2 linked regions of the Drosophila melanogaster genome follow. The protein of the gene in region 1 interacts with the protein of each later gene in a pairwise test. Each region holds a gene or a part of one and is shown in the gene's direction. Other genes may lie near its edges.

Region 1 (5,498 bases):
ACCTCGAATAGGTTTACATCGCGCTTGGTATCAAAGCGCAGTGATTGCTCTACCCAGTCGCGTCCTTCCTTGAATTCTGTGTAGATGTTATTGAGAAAAATAAGGAAAGTATTTCCATAAACTAATGATTTTGTGCACATTAGGATATAGGCAACTTACCATCATCCAGTCCCATTATGTACATGGTATCCAATGAGTCAACAATGGTTAGTCCCAGACCGAACCACTCGTGGGAGTACTGGGAGATGGGCTTCAGGTTGTCGTGGCCCCAGGCATACTTCTTGTAGCCAGCCCAGGAGTGCTTGAAGGCGGCTACAACAGCCGACTGTCTTTCGTTGGTGGCGCCATGGAAGTGCTGGCCCTTGGCCAGAATGGGCTTGATCTTTTTGAGATGCTCTTTGAAGCTAACGCCGCCCAGAGTGAGTGGGTTCTTGATGGCTTGCTCAAGCTGCTCGCCCTCGCTAAGCGGCTCTGCTGGATCCTGGGCGACGGGCTCCTCTACATTGTTTAGGATGTCGATTCCACCGATGTCCTGCTCCTTGTTACTATCGGGGGGAGGCAAGGCCACGGCCATGGCCGAGGCCTGGGGAAGTCCTTCAGCAGCCACCGTCTCCGGCAGACGGGCCACGTTCTCCGCTGAGTTCGCTTCTCCATAGGCAACTAGCTCATTAAACTGAAATTGATTGATATTGAGATATCATTAATAGATTTTACTGGAAGTGTGCTGCGTGGGCAATAAATCAAACACCAATAGTCAATCGTATTGATACGCATGCTATCTTAATAGGCAAACAACTCCAGCCACTTAGGCACTTATCAATTAAGTGGGGGGCCTACTTACCTTATCACTAACCGCCTCCACCCGGGGTGCTCTCTTATCGGCCGGAACAGGTACCGCAGCAGTGTCTTTGGGCACATCCTTATCCACCCCCGGATGATGGTGCGGATTGGGCAGGGGCATTTGATATGCTGCCACCTCGGCCTTGGTGTCCACATCCTTTAAGCTGGCAGCCAGCAGCTGATCGCCACTTAGGCAGAGCAACACTGTCACGCAGAATCCGGTGATGCCCAGAATAATGAGATTGCGCTGACAACGCGGTAGCTGATTCCAAGCCTGAACCGTGAGACAAAAGATCGTACTTATAAGTTCTGGGTTTCTTGAGGATGTCCCAGGACCCCAGCAACTGGACTTCTGCCAGGTTGCTACCTACCCGACGCAGGCTCTTCCTGCCCCGCTCGTCCGTCGTCGCCGCTGATCCCGGCGGGAGTGTGAGCGTTATGTGACCGCCGTCCTTCATAGTGTTTCACTAAATGCCGCCGCCGGAATTCAGAGTGTGGGAAAGTTGGATGGGAAATTCCACAGCATTCGCCTCGAATAAAAATCGATTGCTGTGCGCCGCTGGCCGCGGAGGAATCGGAGCTAACTAACCAAGGTTGGTCCAACTACTACCTCTTTTATGCCTTAATCATCTCTATACGTGCCAGTGCATTAATTTATATATGCTAGTTCTGGCCCACACTATGCAAAATTACAAATAAGAAATTCTAAAATTATTTCACGAGAGCTGCATTTTTGAGCTGCAATGCTGCCAACTTGTTCTTCAACAGTCCGGCCAAAACTAAAGATGGGGCTAGCAATCATTTACTTTTGAAATACCTCTTAAATAAAAAAAAAGCAAATTAAATTATATTTTAGATATTATCACTACTTTATAAAAGAATTTTTCTAAAGAATATATATTAATACGAAGTGGCTAATTTTTTCGAAAATCCAGCTAACACAGTATGAATTTAGCCAAATCTAGAGTGGCCAACACTAGTCCCACTTAACAGTGATTTATTTGGCAGCCCTGGTAAGCTCCAAGTGTGCCCACAATACGGCATTAAAGTGGTCACATCTGGTCACATCCCATTTTCACATCAAAATTTCGACGGAAGTCGGTGCGTAAACCCATAGCCCATTTTTAGTTAGATAATAGCACTTAAAACCCAAAAAATAACACCTACAGCCGGCAACGATAGCGATAGACCCATAGGAAAGCGAACCGCAAACCGACGATGCTCCGAACCCGACTCATCCAGGCGGCCAGCTCCGCCCAGCGAGCGTTCTCCACCAGCCAGAAGGCCCTGGCGGCCAAGCAGATGACCGTGCGAGATGCCCTCAACAGCGCATTGGACGATGAGCTGGCCCGCGACGACCGCGTCTTCATCCTGGGCGAGGAGGTGGCCCAGTACGACGGTGCTTACAAGGTGAGATCTGCGACTTTTCCTGCCCCTGCGCGATTACGTAAACAGCAAGCAGGCGGTTGCGACGACGACAGCTGATGCAGGTGGCCGGGATGGGGGAAGTTGGTGGTCAGCGGGGTGATATATGCGTGCTATATGTAACTACTGATAGTGATTCCGAACAGGTCGACGCGAATCCGAATGCGTGATCGGAGTGGGCAAGGTCACGCAGAATATGTGTGACCGACTGTCTGCTGATTATATAGATTGGCCCATAAAACAACGATTTGTTTACCCATTTGAGGTGGATTGATAACCGGCGTTAGCAATTCTATCCTATTAGATTCATTTAAACTATGATTGTGGCTACTGGTGTAACAACTAGATAGGACACGCAAAGTACAATACAATTACCTGTTAGAATAATGGTATTTCCTGAAGAAATCTTAGTTAATGAGTTATCAGCTTGGAAAGTTTTACAAACAGATAAAAGGTTCCCATCCTGAATAAGCCCTACATATTTTTCTGGTATCCTAACATTCTATTAATCATTTAATGCCCTTTTTAGGTTTCCCGTGGACTGTGGAAGAAGTACGGCGACAAGCGCGTCATCGACACGCCAATCACAGAGATGGGCTTTGCCGGCATCGCTGTTGGCGCTGCCATGGCCGGTCTGCGTCCCGTGTGCGAGTTCATGACCTGGAACTTCTCCATGCAGGCCATCGATCACGTGAGTTGCCTCATCCTTGTCCTAAGAACCACTCCCCGCACTCCAGCAGTAGGCTAACTACTCATATTATCTCATTGCCAACAAAACGTAAACCAAAAGAAAGAACACGACAATCCAATACAAATGCCTCACAACTCCAACAGCTAGCAAATAGACCAATTCAAGTGCAATATGCAGCGGCGCTTAATGGGATAATATGGGTGGATTAGCTCCTGCCCCAAGTCATAGATCGGACCTCACTAATCCCCACCCATATTATCCGATTATGTGCAGGCAAAGATACTCGATTGCGCCAAGCCGCCAGTCGGTGATCGCCCTCTGCCAATAAGCCTCATAATTGAAAGTCCACGCTCAACTTGGCTGAATGAGATCAACGACATCCTGCACAGAGATCGAGTCGGCGAGGTGATTGCGCCGCCGCTGGACAAGAGCAAGTCGGACAAGATGGAGGCGGCCCGCCTCATCGTCATTCGGCGGCGCAAGATGAAGAAGCACAAGCTAAAGAAGCTGCGTCGCAAGATGAAGTTCGAGTGGGCCAAGGTGCGCCAGCGCCGCGAGATGCGCAAAGAGAAGGCCTTCCAAGCAAAGCTGATATCCCAGATCAAGCAGGCGGAGGCATTCAGTGCGGAGCAGCACGTGGCGGAGATCCTGCGGCAGGCCAACGAGACGCCGCTGCCGCGTTTCTGGAAGGGACGCCGCCTGCCGGCATTTATCATTAAGCAGAAACTAGGCATTAAGTAAAGATCAAGACGGAACAGAAAGGAGTGCATCAAATAAAGCGTATTAACTTGAATTGGCGAATTTGCAGTTTGATGGAACAGGCATCCACACTGAGCATTATTTTCATTCATTTTTCACTTTATTATTTCTAAGTCATATTACACATTCATAATAATATGGATTGCTAAAATATATCCCTTTAAAATTTCAAATCTTAGATCATCAACTCGGCGGCCAAGACCTTCTACATGTCTGCCGGTGCCGTCAATGTGCCCATTGTGTTCCGTGGTCCCAATGGAGCCGCTTCCGGTGTTGCCGCCCAGCACTCTCAGTGCTTCGCCGCCTGGTACGCCCACTGCCCCGGCCTGAAGGTCCTTTCGCCATACGATGCCGAGGATGCCCGCGGACTGTTGAAGTCCGCAATCCGTGATCCCGATCCAGTGGTCTTCCTGGAGAATGAGCTGGTCTATGGCACGGCATTCCCTGTGGCCGATAACGTGGCCGACAAGGACTTCTTGGTGCCCATCGGCAAGGCCAAGGTAATGCGGCCGGGCAAGGACATTACCCTGGTGGCGCATTCCAAGGCGGTGGAGACATCGCTTCTGGCAGCTGCCGAGCTGGCCAAGAAGGGTACGGCACTGTTTTACTTTGAATGACGCGAAAAGTAGCTAACCTTCTCTTATATGTTTAGGTATTGAGGCTGAGGTCATTAACCTGCGCTCCATTCGTCCTCTGGACACGGCGACCATCTTCGCCTCTGTACGAAAGACCCACCATCTGGTGACCGTGGAGAACGGCTGGCCCCAACACGGTGAGTGGGAAATTCAGCTAATTGAAAGCCTAGCGATATTTATAAATTTTTACCCTCTTAGGCGTTGGAGCTGAGATCTGCGCCCGCATAATGGAGGACCAGACCTTCTTCGAGCTGGACGCCCCCGTATGGCGCTGCGCCGGCGTGGATGTGCCCATGCCCTATGCCAAGACGCTGGAGGCCCACGCCCTGCCCCGCGTTCAGGATCTCGTGGAGGCGACTCTTAAGGTCTTGGGTGGCAAAGTGGGCAAGGCCGCTGCGGCCAACAAGTAGGAACTCAGGACTAGCCAGCCTCCCGATCGGAACCCCCAGCTAACTAAATTTATAGTCCAAGTCGAAACGCTGCCTCTGGTCTAACCGAGCTGCCCCCATAATAGTGCACCGAACTGGAAATTGAATGTTCTGAAAATAAAGCACTACCGCTTTCGGGTTTTGATTAGTTTTCGGACGTTCTAGTTTAATTATTTGGTTATAGAAATCTCTTGTGAAAAATAAACGAAAACATAAATACATTTTGAGTGCTTATATTTTGGTATAGTTAATGATATAATATCAGAAGATAAAAAATATATAATTCTTATCGTTAATGATTGAAGTTTAAAAAGTGCGCGCACCGATGAAAACGTTTTCCTATTGAACGCTGTCCAACACTGACGACATCTATTTTTTCGATATCAGCCTATCGTTTAGCAATAGGTGTCCTCATATCGATAGCGATAATAGCAAAGTTAACAATAACAAAAGATATAACATAACAAATAATTGCAATGCTTTGGCTGTAATGGCAAACAGCTCCAGCTCCGACGAAAGCTGCAAGGCCCCCGACAACTTTCGCATCTCGAGCGCCTCCACAAACGGCGAGGACGAGGAATCAGATGTCGCAGGATACACAACAAAGCGCAGGCCAACGGCAGCGACGAAGGAACTGTTGAAGGATGCGAACGCCAAGGATAGGAACGCCACCACGGGAATGGGTGCCCACATGCGGTGCCCACTGTGCCACAGCTGCAG
Region 2 (7,768 bases), on another chromosome or scaffold:
TTTCTCAAAAACAATTACCAAAGTTTACAAAGGAAAGCAATAATTGTAGTATGCTTATATTTCATCGGAATATTGATAAGAAACTCATGTATTGTCAGAACCGTATTCTTTTGTATTTTAATAATTACCTCAATTTATTTTATTTAAGGCAGTTACCCGCAAAACACTCCGCAAAACCAAAATTTCAGACATTCTAATTCATCCCAAAGGTCACAAGAAAGGTACTCAATGTATGTACACATGTACGTAGCTTGATAACAGATTTGCTGATGGGTCTCATTTTGCGACGATGAGTATAAAAGGCCTTTTTCTGAGCAAACATAATTCAGTGTTCATTGTTCGTCGGTAAGATGAAGGCAGTTACTTCAAGAGTGTTGGGTTCGATCCTAGTGTTATTATTGATACATTTAGTAAGTTTGAACTGGGTCATTATTTTGTATATACTAAATATTTCTTATTCTTTTAACAGACATCAGCAAAAGAAGCGGAGGTTCACTTAACAAATCCTCCAACAGAATGCAGACTGGTGTGTAATCCAGGGTATCATATCGTGGTTAAAAAGGGTACCTTGTATCATAATGGTAGGAAGCTTGACGATAATGCACGGTATGCGCCGAAGATGGCGTGTGATTTGGAGAACAGTTGCAACTTTAAATTTACGCCACAAACATTAAGTTACATGAATACAGCAATTAATGTAGGCACACAACTAACTATTAATTACGACTGCAAGCGGGATAACTTCCAAGGAGATCCGAGAAGGATAACAGATTATACGAAAACGCAAGGATGTCCGCAAGACTCTTTTGTTCAGAAACACGTCGCATATTTTAACGATGAAAATATTGCTCCCAAGAGGGATACACCTGTCGCGCAAAGGGAAAGGGAAATGATTGCCATGGGCGTATGTGCTCAGGTCAAACGTTTTAGGCAAAACAACCCAAGAACGCCCATCGATCCACATCTTGGCACAGTGTACTTGATATTTGACAATAGAACAAGTAAAAATGATTTCATGCCGAGTCCTGATGTTAGAAAGTGCCAACTTAAGCCCAATTCTCTGACCAAGACATACAAGTATGATTGCGAGAGGAAAGCGGATAAATGGACATGTACTTTTGCCAGCAAGGGAAGGGACTTGGCCATAAATGACAAGATTACAAGTCACTTAGGATGATTATCATTTTATTGTATAGGACTCAAGGCTCAAATGGGAATGCAAGACACAGCGGACTAATTTTATTCCAAACGAAATTTTAAATATACATATATGCAATTGATCAAATTCGTAATAAAAATATGAATAAAACGATAATTTGTTCATTTCTTTTATCGCGATGGAATATAGCTCTATATATCCGTTGTTATACGCTAATAATATTATGTTCTATGATCGAAGTTTTAACGCTTTTTGTGTTTTACAGAAAAACGTTTTATGTCTAAAAGCGCATTTTTCACTTAAAGGATCCGAGAAATTTTAAAAGTGGCTTTATGATAGAATTGTATAAGAGTTTATGCAAGGATTACAAGCGGAAATTCTTTTGAAAAACATTTCTTTATTTAAAGCTAACATAACTAAGACACAAATTTTGAAAATATTACGGTCTATACCAAAAAAATATCGATATTTTGTCCTTATTAGCTTATCGCACTGCCATCTAGATCTGGAAAAAATATCTATGTGCTTCTTTTCGATAGTGATGAAAATTACTTTTATCGATACTTCGCGCACGACCATCTCTAGCGCAGCGTCAGACGTGATTCGATTTTCTTTCGTCGTTCGGATCGGAGCGTAATATTGGATAGGCGGAGTGTTTAGACAAGGGCGGCCATCTTTCTGAAGTGAGGAAAACTGTAGTCCAAGTAGTCCAGTCATTTTGACAAATCGCCGTTGCAACACGTAAGTTTCTAACTAATTTCACAGTTTGCGCTGCGCCTCTGTCCTTTACTTGTGTAGGCTAACTGAAAACTGGTGCGTATGTATGTATCTGTTGGCGAAAATTTTACTTTTTCACTTGCTACCCGGGCGTCTGAAAATAGTAATTATTGATTTTCCTGGGGCTCCTTGCGTGTATTTGTGCATTAAGTAATGTGATAATGAGGTAACTGCTTTTTTACGAGGCCTTGATTGTGGATTATCGTCGTAAGCGTTATTTATTTGCATTCCAGAGCTTAGACTAATGCGTATAGTATACGTCATTGGTGCAAAACATGTTTTTATCGCGATTAAATGGGTCTTTGGCTTTTTTTTTCCTATTCTGTACTCTAACTTTCCCTCCCTTTCGCACTCATACGGCCGGCCGGCTTTCTGGCTGAATCAATTACTTATACACACTCAGCGTCTGGGCCGCCATCTTTTTTCCACTCGCAGTGATAAATTTTAGGTGTTTTTTGTTACCTTCATTTAAATTGGCCAAAAGGCGTGAATGTGTTGGTGTCGCACAAACCAGTTTTACATGTGATTAATGTAAACTGCTGACTGTAGCGCCAAATTGTTCCATTTCTTTTCCTTTTCCCCTATCTCTTTGCGTGTATGTGTGTGTAAGTGGTGTGTGTATACGCACGCTGGCTTGTTTTACGGTTTTTGATGCGGTTCCATAATAACTACCCGTAGATGTGGATAAAGAGATCTGGCGATTACTAACCCAAATTAATGAATTCCCGCTTGCATCTCAACATTTGTTTTGTTCTTTGTGCCGTTTTACTTTCAGCTTGTTTAAATAATTTCCTCGCTTAAACACAAACCCTACATTACACATCCCATAAACACTCCCAAAAACAGCAAAAAAAAACCCATCAAAATTATGGTCAGGTATGCTGCACATCAACCCCGAATATTCGAAATTATTTATGTATCCCTAGTTCCCAATTCCAACGTGATTAATTATAAAATTATATTTTTCCAATATTGTCGATATGTTCTTGTTTAAAAATTGTCAGCTTATGTAGAATAATATATCTTAAACTGCTTGGAAAATTATAATTTTATTGAATAAATTTGTCCCCCTACCGCTTCGAAAGAAAGTTATAGTTATACTGATAAGTGAATCATGTCTTTTTGCAGCGTAAAGGTCAACGGAAATCCGCAGAATCGTTTAGTGAATAACGCAAAGGTCAACGGCAACATGGCTTTCCGTGGTAACCAGAACCGCAACCGCAATTTTGGAGGTGGCAACAACAACTATGGTGGACCCATGGGCGCCAACCGCATGGGCGGTATGAACATGTCGCCTTGGGAATCGCAGAATCCCGGCGGCGGACAGTTTGGTAACAACATGCGACAGGGTGGCGGTCAGATGAACGCCCAGGCCATCAACTTGGCCAACAATCTGCTGAACAATCTGTTCAGGAACCAGAATCCACCATCGCTTCTCGACTTGCCCCGCGGCGGCGGTGGCATGGGAAATCGCAACCAACGTGGTGGCCCGGTATGTACAAAAGTTTACTTATTCTCGAATTAGTTGACAATGCCAACCGAATGAATTGTTATACTTACCTATGTTGTTATTATTTATGGGTTCGTGAACTGCGAATCGTATTTCTGTTGTGGAGTGTCATATGTTGAAATAATTTAAAAAATTCTACTAAACATGTAGAATTCAATTCAAAGCACATAGTAATCTTAATATTTTGTCTGTTTACTTTTGTTGTACTCAATATAAACTCAACTTAGGATGCCTAAATCGTATAAACATTTTGTAATTACGTGTATACCTTTTGGTAATATACTTGCTCTCCACAGCAGAACCTTTTATTTTGTGTTTTACCCTTAGTTAGATCGTAATATTGCTAAATGTAGCTAATGCTTTTCCTTTAAAAGATAAATCAAAATGATCTTAAACCTAATCTTAGCTTGTAGTTTACTAAACTAAACCGACGACTGAAAAATAACGAAAACCAGCGAAAAGAATATTGAAAAAAGTAATAAGAACTTTGTGCAGTGTAGGATGTAAGGTTGTCAAACATTAGGATTAATGTGGTATTAGGAGGATTTCGATAAAAACGCATTTATTCCATTTAAAATGCAATGCTTTTTTGTTTCGTAGAAACTGCACAAACGAATAAGAACCTGATTATTACACCGAAAATAAGAAATGACAATTTTATAAAATAATACACACGTATTGATAGCGAAATGTACCAATTAAAACATGTACCGCCAACACTTGTTCCACTTAACGATGAAAAGAGTATGATGATGATCTCCATATGTCAAGATTGAATCATAAGTAATTTATATGCAATATTTTCTTACTAGTTGTACTTAAGCATTTAATTACATTTTTACCATATTTATAATTCGATTAATTAATTTCCGAAGTTCCATTGCCAAGTAAAAGAAACTTTCTTGGCCGAACTCAATTTGCCACAACGCTTTTCTAATTTATCAATTATCTATTTTTATTCTCTCTTCCAAAACCAAACAATGCCAAACTCAAAAATTCGATGCTTTTCAATACACCTCCAAATATCGAATATCGAAACCGCATCGTCTTGCATATTTCGAATAATGCATTCCATATTGTTGTTGCTGCTCCGGCATATATACTTGCTGTTGTTGTTGTTGCTGCCGCCGCTGCTGTCGTTGTGGTTGTTGTTGTCGTTGTCGCTGTTGCGCGTTGTTGTTGCCGTCGATGATGACTCTTCCCATTTGCAATAATCCATTGCAATCAACAAAAATCTAATCCCCATTGACGGCCAACAATATTTTCGAATATCCAAATGAAATTGAATGCAAAACGCAACGCACACGCACTCAACACACACGCACACGCGATGCACACACACACGTTGTGGCCAATATGCGAATCTTCACCAACGATGCGATACTGTAAACTGTACGATGCTTCCCGTGCGACGCCACTGATTGATTGATTGATTGATTGATTGATTGACCGATTGCCAAATCGATTGACATTGATCGCCATGCAATCTTCTAATCTGCTCTGCTCTGAAACCGAAACTGATCCGATCTGGTACTGGTACTGCTTGATGGTGCAACATAATTACATCCAAAACCACAATATGAAATACCTATTAATATTTTATGTCTAATGCCAATTCATCGCCAAATTCTTCTTCGACGTTCCTGCCTCTGAAACTCAAAATCCGATTTCCATTTTTAAATGCCACTCGCCGCCACACGCCAACGAATTAATATATATATATGTTTATGCAATATATATCAACCTATCCCCGTCGACTGATTGGCCGCCGCAACTGCCCCGTCGATCTGACCAAAATCAATATATATATACCATGTGCTCCATGTACTTATGTATACTTTACTATATATCAACGATTTATTCCCACAATTATCTATAATGTGTTCAATCTGATCGCTCCGCCCCTCACACAATATTGTAAATGGCCAACCGCGCCATATTGTCTCCGATCTTTCGAAAATGCTTTGTATCATTAATGCCTCTGTTTGTAAATCAAAACGATATCAATTCACATATGCCCCATGTGCGCATTCCGAATTGTGCAAATATTTTAATGTCAATCCCAAATGATAAACGAAACAATGTATAGATGGTCAGTCGCGGCGGCGGTGCCGGCAATCGTCTCAATAACCGTCGTGGCCAGGGAGGTGGCTTCCAAAATCGTGGCGCCACTGGTAGTGGACCCAAGCCCCCGCCAAAGCAGGGCGGCGGCGGTATTCGCAAGCAAAATGCTTTTGATCGTGCCAAGAAACTTTTGGCTAAAAATGCCAACCAAAATAAAAAGAAGGAACCCACTCCTGGCGAAAAGAAAATCGAGAGGTAAGACTTACAACAACTTTTCCAAAACAAAACCAAAACCACAACAAAAAGTATAAATATTTTGCTGCCCAAAATCGAAAGGATTGATTTCTTTCACTAATATCAAAACAAATAACGAACTTAGCAGGGCGAATAACAACTTTTTACTTAAGTACTTAGGCATTCCAATTCTCTAATTGCGTTCCCTCATACATCTCTAAAAAAAAAAGTATATTTAATTAGAATTAGTTCTTCATTAGGGATAGTATATTTTTTGATGCTGTTTATAAAACTGTGTGTATGTGGGGCAACTTGTGCGGGGACTCATTTGGGTAGGGAATTGTAAATGTATAAATTTATGTGTTGAAACTACATACTATTCAAGTTCATACTAATTTTTTAAAATATAATTTACCTTAAAAGAAATTGTTTAAATATAATCTTTTCTTTCTTTGACTTTTGTGCACATTAAAAGTTTTAAAAATATTTTTAAAGTTAAAATGGAGAGAACTTTATAATTTAACTTCATATTCATGCTTAAATATTTAAATTAAATGTATAAGCTCACAATAATATTAAATTTCCTCTCCTTTTTTATTGATTTGGAAGAATATAAATTTTGAATAAATATATCATAAATGTAAGATTTCATAAGAAAAGAAACATGCTTCTACATACCTAATAATTTTGTTTAAAACATAATTTGTGGCATATTTCTTCTCCTTGCAAAGTCATCATTCTCACTATAGTAACGCATTTTTATCATAGCTAAAAACATTTATTATTGTATCACCTATCGCCACCTGTACTGTACGTATCATAAGTCTAAATTGCAGCGAGAACCACTATACTCCTATAATATAATAATCTCTTCCCAATAGCCAGACAACCAGACGAATTCCCGTCTATGAATTTCAAATTAGAAAACTAATGAATCTTTCTTTTTCTATTCCTTCTCGAACAAATCGAATGATCCATGATCAATTTTAATAGCCCTACCAAGGAGTCTCCATACGCTAGTGTGCCGAACGACATGTTCTACTGCCATCTGTGCAAGAAGCACATGTGGGATGCCAACTCTTTCGAGAACCACATCAAGGGCCGCACCCATCTGATGATGCGTGAGGGCATTGAGGAGAGCTATCGCCTCAAGGCCAACATGATCCGTCAGGAGGCTAAGATCGCAGAGCAGCTCAAGTCGATCGAGTTTGACCGCTTGAAGCGCATGGGCAAAAGCAAGCAGCGTCAGCTGGACTACTGCACCATGTGCGACCTGAACTTCCATGGTCACATCTCGACCCATCGCAAGTCGGAGGGACATTTGCAGCTGAAGAAGTTCTTGCACCCCAAGTGCATTGAGTGCAACAAGGAGTTCGCCACTCGCATTGACTACGATACTCATCTGCTGTCCGCCGAGCATCTGAAGAAGGCTGCCGAGAACAACACCAAGGTGGGTGAGCGCAAGCGCCAGACCTTGCCCATCAGCACCGAAGAAGAGGAGACCCGCGATTTGCGCCTGCCCCAGAAGCGCAAGAAGAAGCCGGTCAAGAAGGAGGGCGAAGCAGCCGATGGCGAGGCTAAGAAGGAGGGTGCCGGCGATGGCGAGGGTGCCGAAGGTGATGAAGCCGAGGGAGAAGAGGCCAAGGAGGGTGAGGAAGCTGCTGACGAGACAAAGGAGGGCGATGAGCTAAACGAGAGCCAAGAGGAAGAGGAAGTGGCACTGCCCGTGGACCCCGAGGACTGCATCCTTGACTTCAACGACGGCGATGAGATCCCCAGCGAGGTGGATACCCGCCTACCTAAGTACAACTGGCAGCGTGCTGTCGGTCCCGGTCTGATCTCCAAGCTGGAGTGCTATGAGTGCTCGGTGTGCAGCAAGTTCTTCGACACCGAGGTGACCGCCGAGATTCACTCCCGTACGGCGACTCATCACCGCAACTTCTTGAAGTTTATCAACGAGAAATCAAGCGATACCAAGATCGCACAGAAGCGCGCAGCTGCCGCCCTGGAGGAGAATGAGCGTA

Evidence for each region. Proteins that work in one complex are often made in the same cells at the same time.
Region 2: the proteins of Pdhb (region 1) and Pep interact in a two-hybrid assay, tested with the Drosophila melanogaster proteins (one large-scale study listed by BioGRID).

The regions. Positions count from the first base shown.
Region 1 is NT_033777.3:29,111,200-29,116,697, forward strand, and holds Pdhb (pyruvate dehydrogenase E1 beta subunit), read left to right. Parts: upstream 1-1,871; 5' UTR 1,872-1,941; exon of another isoform or gene 1,942-2,009; 5' UTR 2,010-2,058; coding exon 2,059-2,250; intron 2,251-2,794; coding exon 2,795-2,956; intron 2,957-3,229; coding exon of another isoform or gene 3,230-3,697; exon of another isoform or gene 3,698-3,747; intron 3,748-3,894; coding exon 3,895-4,306; intron 4,307-4,367; coding exon 4,368-4,487; intron 4,488-4,548; coding exon 4,549-4,760; 3' UTR 4,761-4,998; downstream 4,999-5,498. Other genes in the region: alpha-Man-Ib (alpha-Mannosidase class I b), read right to left, coding at 1-76, 160-673, 842-1,114, 1,212-1,298; Atg14 (Autophagy-related 14), read left to right, coding at 5,269-5,498. UniProt on the Drosophila melanogaster protein: The pyruvate dehydrogenase complex catalyzes the overall conversion of pyruvate to acetyl-CoA and CO(2). Might play a role in regulating synapse structure formation at neuromuscular junctions. Might play a role in maintenance of mitochondrial morphology.
Region 2 is NT_037436.4:17,639,023-17,646,790, reverse strand, and holds the start of Pep (protein on ecdysone puffs), read left to right. Parts: upstream 1-1,754; 5' UTR 1,755-1,900; intron 1,901-2,711; 5' UTR 2,712-2,804; coding exon 2,805-2,812; intron 2,813-3,064; coding exon 3,065-3,428; intron 3,429-5,535; coding exon 5,536-5,765; intron 5,766-6,737; coding exon 6,738-7,768. Other genes in the region: CG43085 (uncharacterized protein), read left to right, coding at 351-410, 470-1,177. UniProt on the Drosophila melanogaster protein: May play a role in the process of early and late gene activation, or possibly in RNA processing, for a defined set of developmentally regulated loci.